Linked DNA regions of Drosophila melanogaster. The protein of the gene in region 1 interacts with the protein of each later gene in a pairwise test. Each region holds a gene or a part of one and is shown in the gene's direction. Other genes may lie near its edges.

Region 1 (3,751 bases):
TCCAAGCATATCGTTATGACCTGCATATAGCGATCCCAAAGACATCTGGTTTCTTGGTCCCTGCAAAACATTTAGAGTTGATTATCAAAAAAGTTACTTGATTAATCTAGACAAAAGTACCCACCTTGATATTTCCAGATCCAAAACGCTTTGCGTTATGGAAGCCAAAAATTTATTCACTTGCTCACGGTTCCAGCCATTCTGACGCCAAGGATCAATAAGCTTCTCACAGAGATCGACGAAAAGATCGCGCAGCTCCCGATTGCGATGCAAATTGCAGGCGATGGTGATCAGGGCGCGCCAGTAAGAACTGCAAATCAAAACAGATCAATAGTAAGAAAAGGTGATAATGTCGAGAAATAAGTCCTTACCGAAAGTTGCCATCCAGTTCGTGAAAGGCGCGCTCGAGAAGAACGGGTTTGAGGCGCATGCAGACGAGGCTAAATGCAAGGACTAAACTATATAATAGCTCGTGTGCGGTAGAAAAATAAATCTCACTGCTTAATCTCCTTTTCCTTGTCGAGTAGACAGCGCAACTCCCGCAGGTCCAAGAGAAACTCTTTGTCCATTTCGGTATCATAGTACTCCGGTCCAGTGTGCTGCATTTAGTAAATTAGTTTCGTAAGGAATTAGCAGAGCTAAGTCATACCTGGTAAGTATACGTCCAGTAGATCATGATGGCATGGGAGCAGGTCAACAAATCACTGAAGCTCAGGTATTGCAACTTTTTTTTGGTGGTTTCGAAACGCAGGCAGGCCAGGAAAACAATGCAGGCGTACTTTCTGTAAGAGTGAAAGGTTTAGCTTTTTGAAGTTCAATACATTGATTATATTCATACTTGGCTAGATCGGTGGATATGATGAAGTGTTGCTTGATGTTGTTGGTTAACGTGCCCGGCATTTCCTCGACTGCCTTAAAAATGCGTTTTACGTTGTCAAATTGTCGGCTGAAGAAGAAGTTGAAATATATTAGACTCTACTCTGCCTAAGTAGCGGCCAAATTTACCCACCGAACTGATTTTAGCTTGACGCACGTCTTCTCGGCCACCTCGTCGAGGTCCTTGCGGTAGCGGGACGACAGCTTCTTGCCAAGAATTTCGCGAGCCACCACATCATCGATGGAATAGTACTTCTCGGTGATAAGGTCACGCATTTGTGGCTCCAGCTGGAAGCAGGATTGCTCCATCAGTTTGGTGGGTGCGTTTAGGTATAGTTCAATCAGGGAATAGGTGCGGTAATGATCCAGTACATCCGATGCAATCAGGTCGCTGGGAGCGCCCATGGAGTGACCAAAACCCTTCTGTTTCAGATAGGACACCGCCTCGCTGGCTATAATTGTAAATCGATGGAGCCGTTTGACATGAAACAAGATTGCAATTGGGAGAAGAAAACTTACAGGAGAAGCCTTCGATCCATAGCTGGTAAATTTCTGGATCGATGATTGTATAATTACTTATAAACACATCCACATCGGCCTGTAAGCATTCAGTTTTACTATTTATTATTATTTTGGATCATCAGATAGTTACCATTATATTGCTAGAGTGACCGTTTTCTGAACTAGCTGTCCAATTGGATATATCGAAATGTATGTTAGAGATGAAACACTGTGTAGTTCCAACACAAGCAGCATAGTTTATTCTTCTCATGAATTTAAAACTTTTCCTTGAAAGTAATAAATCGTTCTTGTTTTCATAACATCAATATATCCTATTAATAAACAAGCGAAAATGTTTAGAGTAATAATGGTAAAACCAAATTCGGTGTGATTTTGAGTTTTAAGATCAAGTCATAAGGAAATCTTTAAAATTGTAATTCTCAGAAATCTTAATTTAATATGCAAGATATATAGCTGTAAACTTTCCGATATTTAAAAACCAGAGATGGGGCACAGATAGCGAGCACGAATCACGACTATCGATAGTGCCGATAGCGGGCGATAGCTGCAACGCGCATGACAACTCTAGTTATCATGAGGAAGAAGAGGAGGATATCAACTTTTTTAGTAAATTAGTAAAGTTTAAGCTTAAAAAATGTAAATTGCAATGAACCACCAGCTGTAAATAGGGCAATGCAACTTGAACGCGACCTGCGCGCAATTCGCATGTAAGTCGTGGTGAGCGCTGAAAAAAACGCGGATCGCGGCGGCAGCAACAACAACAACAACAACAGACCGTCCGTCGTCTCGGTAGACGTCGAATAATATACATATATCGCAATAATCCAATTGCAAGTGGTAATCCGATGAACAATTCAAGTGCATTACTATCGTTGGACCGCAGAATAAGTGAAAGTGAACTGGCATAACAATACTATGGAACAGGTTGACTCCTCCACCGAGCTGCACCTGAATAGGAAAGATCTGGCCGCGCTGGCCGAGGATGTTGTGAAAGAAGAGGTGATATTAGAAAGCTCCAGCCATCACCATCATCATCATCACCACCAGGTAAGAAAAAGGAGCAACAAACGGCTGCGTAAGGAGCCCATTTGGTTTTGGATTTTCCATTCGCTTCTCCTTTGGCGGGGTGGTTTTGGTTCCGGACTGTGTGTTTGGTTCAGGTTCTATCTATTGAATCCGAAACCGAATCTGGCTCGAAAACCGCTCCGCTTCGCTCTGCGCAGTTGTGGAAAGTGGGTGGTGGGTGGTTGGGCTAGGTGGCCTGGGGGTGGCGCAACTTGCGCCCTACGGAACGCTCCGTGCGACCCACTGGGCCACAGGCATTCCCCGCTCGCCTTCTCGCCTCCATCCACTCCCAATTTGCCTCCTCCTCCTCGTTTTCCCCCTCCACCCACCGCATTTGTGGCGCACAAATGTTGTGTATACCGATTTTCATTTTTCCCATGCTGTGTTGTTTACTTACATTCGAATTTTCATTCCCGATTCCTGTGCAAATCGCATTGAATTAAATCGCAAACGCCATCAATTGGCCGCTGGACACTCACCCACATACATGTGACGAACGTGGGAATATGTGCGCTATGGTAATGCAGTTGGACACCAAGGTTCGCATGGTCACATCCTCCTCCAACGACAACAGTGGTAGCGGCGGCGCCAGTGGCGGTACAAGCGGAGCGGGCGGAGGAAACGGCGGTGGCGGTGTGGTTTCGGTGCCCGTATCCCTGCCCATCGGTTCGATGATAACCGGCACTACCTTCAATGTGATCACGCCCGACCAGCTGCCCCCTCACTTCAAGCCGATGCTGTGCGTCGACAACAATGGCTACCTGTCCGGCAGCACGGTCAGCATGGGCAACGACCTCAAGACGATCGTCATCCAGCAACAGCAGACGCAACCAGGCGGCGGCGGTGGCGGCGCCAATAATGCGGGCACCAATACGACCGCCACAAATACGATTGGACTGAATCACGATGGCTCCGGGAGCAACAATAGCCACGACAGCCTGGCCACCTTGGAGCACGCCGCGGGCGGAGCGAGTGGCGTCGGCGGTGGCGGCGGCGGAACGGGTGGTGGCTCCTCGGGATGGTCGGAGAACCCGTCAACCCAGCACAATGAGGTCTTCCAGATCCGCTGCAAAACCACCTGCGCCGAGTTATACCGCAGCAAGCTGGGCTCCGGCGGCCGTGGACGCTGTGTGAAGTACAAGGACAAGTGGCATACGCCCAGTGAGTTTGAGCATGTGTGTGGCCGGGGCTCCAGCAAGGATTGGAAGCGTTCGATCAAGTACGGCGGCAAATCGCTGCAGTCCCTCATCGATGAGGGTACGCTCACGCCGCACGCGACCAACTGCAG
Region 2 (3,751 bases), on another chromosome or scaffold:
TCCTTCGAGCTTTTCAAGTTCGTCAATAAAATGGTAACATAATAAGGCCCATCTAGTCGGTAACAAACGGTTCGAAACGCTTGAGCACCGCGTTCATGGATGGGCGATCCTGCGGATCCAGGGCAGTACAGTGCAAGCCCGCCTCGATGGCGCACATGCACATGTCCAGCTCCTTGCCCATCGGTGCTGCTAAGTGCTTCTCTAGCAGCTCCATCCGGTTTTGCCGCCACTGCTGCTTAACGTAGTCCAGCAAATTCTTCTTCGTCTCGTTTTCCGGCACGCGATCCGTCACCTGACGACCCGTGAACACCTCCAACAGCACAATGCCGAAGCTGTAGACGTCCACGCCCGTGCTGAGTTGTCTGAAGTTGCGGAACTCCGGTGGCAGGTAGATCTTAGTGCCGAAAACTTTATTCACTTCCACCACAGCGTCCAAGGACTTGGGACCCTCGCGCACCAGACCGAAGTCTCCGATTTTTGGCTGCAGACATTGGTCCAGCAGGATGTTGGCCGGCTTAATATCTCCATGAATCAGCGGTGTGCCTCGCGCCGTGTGCAGAAAGTAGATGCCTCTTTTGGAAACGAAATGAAAAGTTAAAGAAGATTGATAGCACTAAAGAAACGATAAATCCCACCTAGCCGTGCCGAGGCTGATGCTAAACCGCTGCTGCCAGGTGAGTGCTGGTAGTGGGTTTTGTGCCTTATGCGCTCGTAAACGAGCCTCCAGGGAGCCGCCCTTCATCAGCTGGTAGACGAGGCACGGCTTACCACCTTTGATGCTGTATCCGTAGAGGGCCAGGATATTGTCGTGCCGGATGCTGTTTAAATACTTGAGTTCGTTGTAGCTCTGCTGCAGCTCCACCATTTTCTGGTCGATGTTGGGACTGCGGTAGTTCATCACCTTGATGGCCACGTCCAGTTGCTTCCATTTGCCGCGGTACACGTCTCCGAATCCGCCCTGTCCCAGTCGATTATCCGGACTCCAGCCGTCCGTGGCGTTTTCTAGCTCCGCATAATCGATCTCCAGCAAGGATTCGGCTGCCCGCTGTACGGTGCTAATGTGTATATTGCCCAGGGACTCCAGGCTGGGTATCTCCTCCGTTGCCGTTGTGCTGGTGCGATTGTTGTTTGAGTTGCTGACGCCCGAGGAGGAGGGAAACGGCGGGCCGTTGTTTACTTTGGCACTGGAATCGGGAGCAGCGCGCAGCTCGCTGATGGTGGGCACGCTCCTCGGTATGTACTTGTGCAGATCCTCGCTAACGTAATCTTTGATCAGACGCATGGCGTTATGAAGCTTCAATCTAAAGTAAGAGGAGTCATTTCTGGGATCTCGGCGGTTATTATCTCAAACTGACTCACTTTTTGAACAAAGCAAACAATGTTTGCACCGTGTGATTGTACTGACCGCCCCAAATGTTGAGGAACTCATTGGAGGCTGAGCGGCCACGCTGCTTCTGGCTGCTTATCTGCTCCACCTGGTCGGGATAGAGTTTTACGGCCGTGGCCAGCTGTTGCCATACGTCTAGGGCATCCAAGTGGGCACATAGCTGGGCTCGCACGGGCAACGGCAGCAGTCGGATGGCCATTGTGTTGTCCAAGTGGGAACGCGACCTGGTCCTGTTGCCATTCGCTTGGTTTTGGGCCTGCGCCTCGGCTTCGGCGGTCTGGACGCCACTCATCTTTCACTTATGGGCGGGCGGTTCAACCGGTTGCGACTGATTCATGCGGCTCCGGATGCAAGAGTGCCCGTTGGATGAGGGGTTGGCGGCGCTGGTAACCTGTTGCAGCGAAACGAAAATCGCTTTTGGGTAAATTCCCAACGCGATTCGATGAAAACCTGTGGATGACTTGTTAACAGCGGCGCAACAAGTGATAAAGCAGCTTAACAGAGCGAAGCAGTCTGGCAACGCTGCCAATGTCTAGCAAATAATACACTCGAAAAAGTGGTAGATGCTTAGGAGCCACTGTTTAAAATTCAGAAGTAAAAAGAAAGCAGAGTAATTATTAAAAAGGTATTTGCTGTATGAAAATATTAAATAGATTTTAAATAACCTCCACATATTTTATGTAATTTGCACAGTATTTTGTATACTAAAATATCTTAAAAAATACCAAAGGCAATTAGTGTATGACCAAATGAGCCTTGCAGTTTGGCGGACATGCGTCGTTTTCAAGTGCCCCGCAGGTGGCCACACTGCTGACACCGTCACGAACGCATCGCTATCGCTAATTCTTCGCTTCGCCCATTTATAATTCAGCAAATACGTCAATTAGCCCCACCAGCGAACGGAAAAGCCTCAAGCTGGCGGAGAAAAAGGTCCAAATGGCGCTATGCCAGACATCGGTGGTGAGTGTGCGGCTGGATCCCCGAGATCCGGTAATTGTGTCAGCGGCGGTGGCTCCATTGCATTCGACATATGGAAGGCATCCTACCAAGGAGTTTCTCCATTTCCTCCAGCTTCACCTCCTTCCGCCGCCCACGCGGGAAAGTGAAAGCTTTCCCAGTGGTCATGGTAGTTACTACAAAACGATAGTTACAACTGCTGAAATCCGAGATACCAAAACTGCAAACCTCTCGGGTGTGGATGTGTGTGCATGCGAGTGCGTGTCTGTCTGGATGTCGCTGTGTTAGTGCGTTCGTTGCCTTGCAGTTTTGTATGTTTCTTGCCCTCTGGATTTTCCGATTTTCGGCTTTTCCGCGTAGTACTTCAAACTCCCATGGGGGGTTATATTTAGCAGTAATACACGCTGCGTAGCTTGTGCTATTATCTACAAGTCGGGGCCTCCTTCCTTATCGTCCGCTGATAACGCAAAACAAACTATTAATAAAACAAGCAACTGGCATACCGGTGTATATATATGTACAATGTACATATATATATATACCAGCATATGCATGGTATCTATGTACATATGTGCACTGCGACATTCTTCGCAAACAAATAATTTACATACTTTATTTGCGTTTTGCATATTCACATTACAGCTGCGTCTGAATTTTAATGGGAGCTCAAAAAGGCTCACCACATACTGTGCGCCACATTTTCAACTTCTATAGCGTCTTGCCCTTTACTTGCTTCGTGGATTTTTTGCGCAATCCCTATTGTTTTACCCCCAACTGTTTAGGCCCTAATAGCGTGAAGTTGAGCCGCGATAATATAATGAGTGTTTAAGTCAACACAAGCCCAGATTTGTCGTGCATTTCAAATTTAATTATACACAATTAACCGCATCCCCTCTCGCCCGCAGCTGAAGGTGTACCATGCCGTGATCGAGGACGTCATCACAAATGTGCGGGACGCGTTCCTGGACGAGGGCGTCGACGAACAGGTGCTGCAGGAGATGAAGCAGGTCTGGCGCAACAAGTTGCTTGCTAGCAAGGCCGTCGAGCTGAGCCCGGACTCCGGCGATGGCTCCCATCCGCCACCCATCGTGGCCAACAATCCAAAGGTAAGCGAAACGGAGCCCTTGGGTGGATATTCTCATCGCGAATCCTTGTGTCTGTCTAACTTAACGTAGAAGTCCATACAAATTGTGATATCTTCATCCCAAAAAAAATTTCCAACTAAGATATCTTGCTTTATCTTTCTTATGCTCCACCACTTGAACCACTACAATGCAACGCGCCTCACCAACAACATCGACTAATGCGCTGCTCTTTGCACATCATCAAAATCCATTCAAAAACCCATTCATTTCCATGCGCCCTTACATCCAACCGCACGTTTCGAATGCAGAGCCACAAGGTAAA

The links. Proteins that work in one complex are often made in the same cells at the same time.
Region 2: the proteins of Deaf1 (region 1) and TfIIA-L interact in a two-hybrid assay, tested with the Drosophila melanogaster proteins (2 studies listed by BioGRID).

What each region holds. Positions count from the first base shown.
Region 1 is NT_037436.4:19,816,222-19,819,972, forward strand, and holds the start of Deaf1 (deformed epidermal autoregulatory factor-1), read left to right. Parts: upstream 1-1,952; 5' UTR 1,953-2,313; coding exon 2,314-2,445; intron 2,446-2,880; exon of another isoform or gene 2,881-2,969; coding exon of another isoform or gene 2,970-2,990; coding exon 2,991-3,751. Other genes in the region: fibp, read right to left, coding at 1-60, 125-310, 372-440, 499-599, 650-782, 839-946, 1,010-1,328, 1,396-1,474 and 1 more. UniProt on the Drosophila melanogaster protein: Transcription factor that binds the homeotic Deformed (Dfd) response element. High affinity binding sites contain at least 1 TTCG motif surrounded by additional TCG sequences.
Region 2 is NT_033777.3:27,251,279-27,255,029, forward strand, and holds the start of TfIIA-L (transcription factor IIA L), read left to right. Parts: upstream 1-2,151; 5' UTR 2,152-2,323; coding exon 2,324-2,347; intron 2,348-3,249; coding exon 3,250-3,450; intron 3,451-3,737; coding exon 3,738-3,746; intron 3,747-3,751. Other genes in the region: pll (pelle), read right to left, coding at 53-572, 636-1,301, 1,360-1,679. UniProt on the Drosophila melanogaster protein: TFIIA is a component of the transcription machinery of RNA polymerase II and plays an important role in transcriptional activation. TFIIA in a complex with TBP mediates transcriptional activity.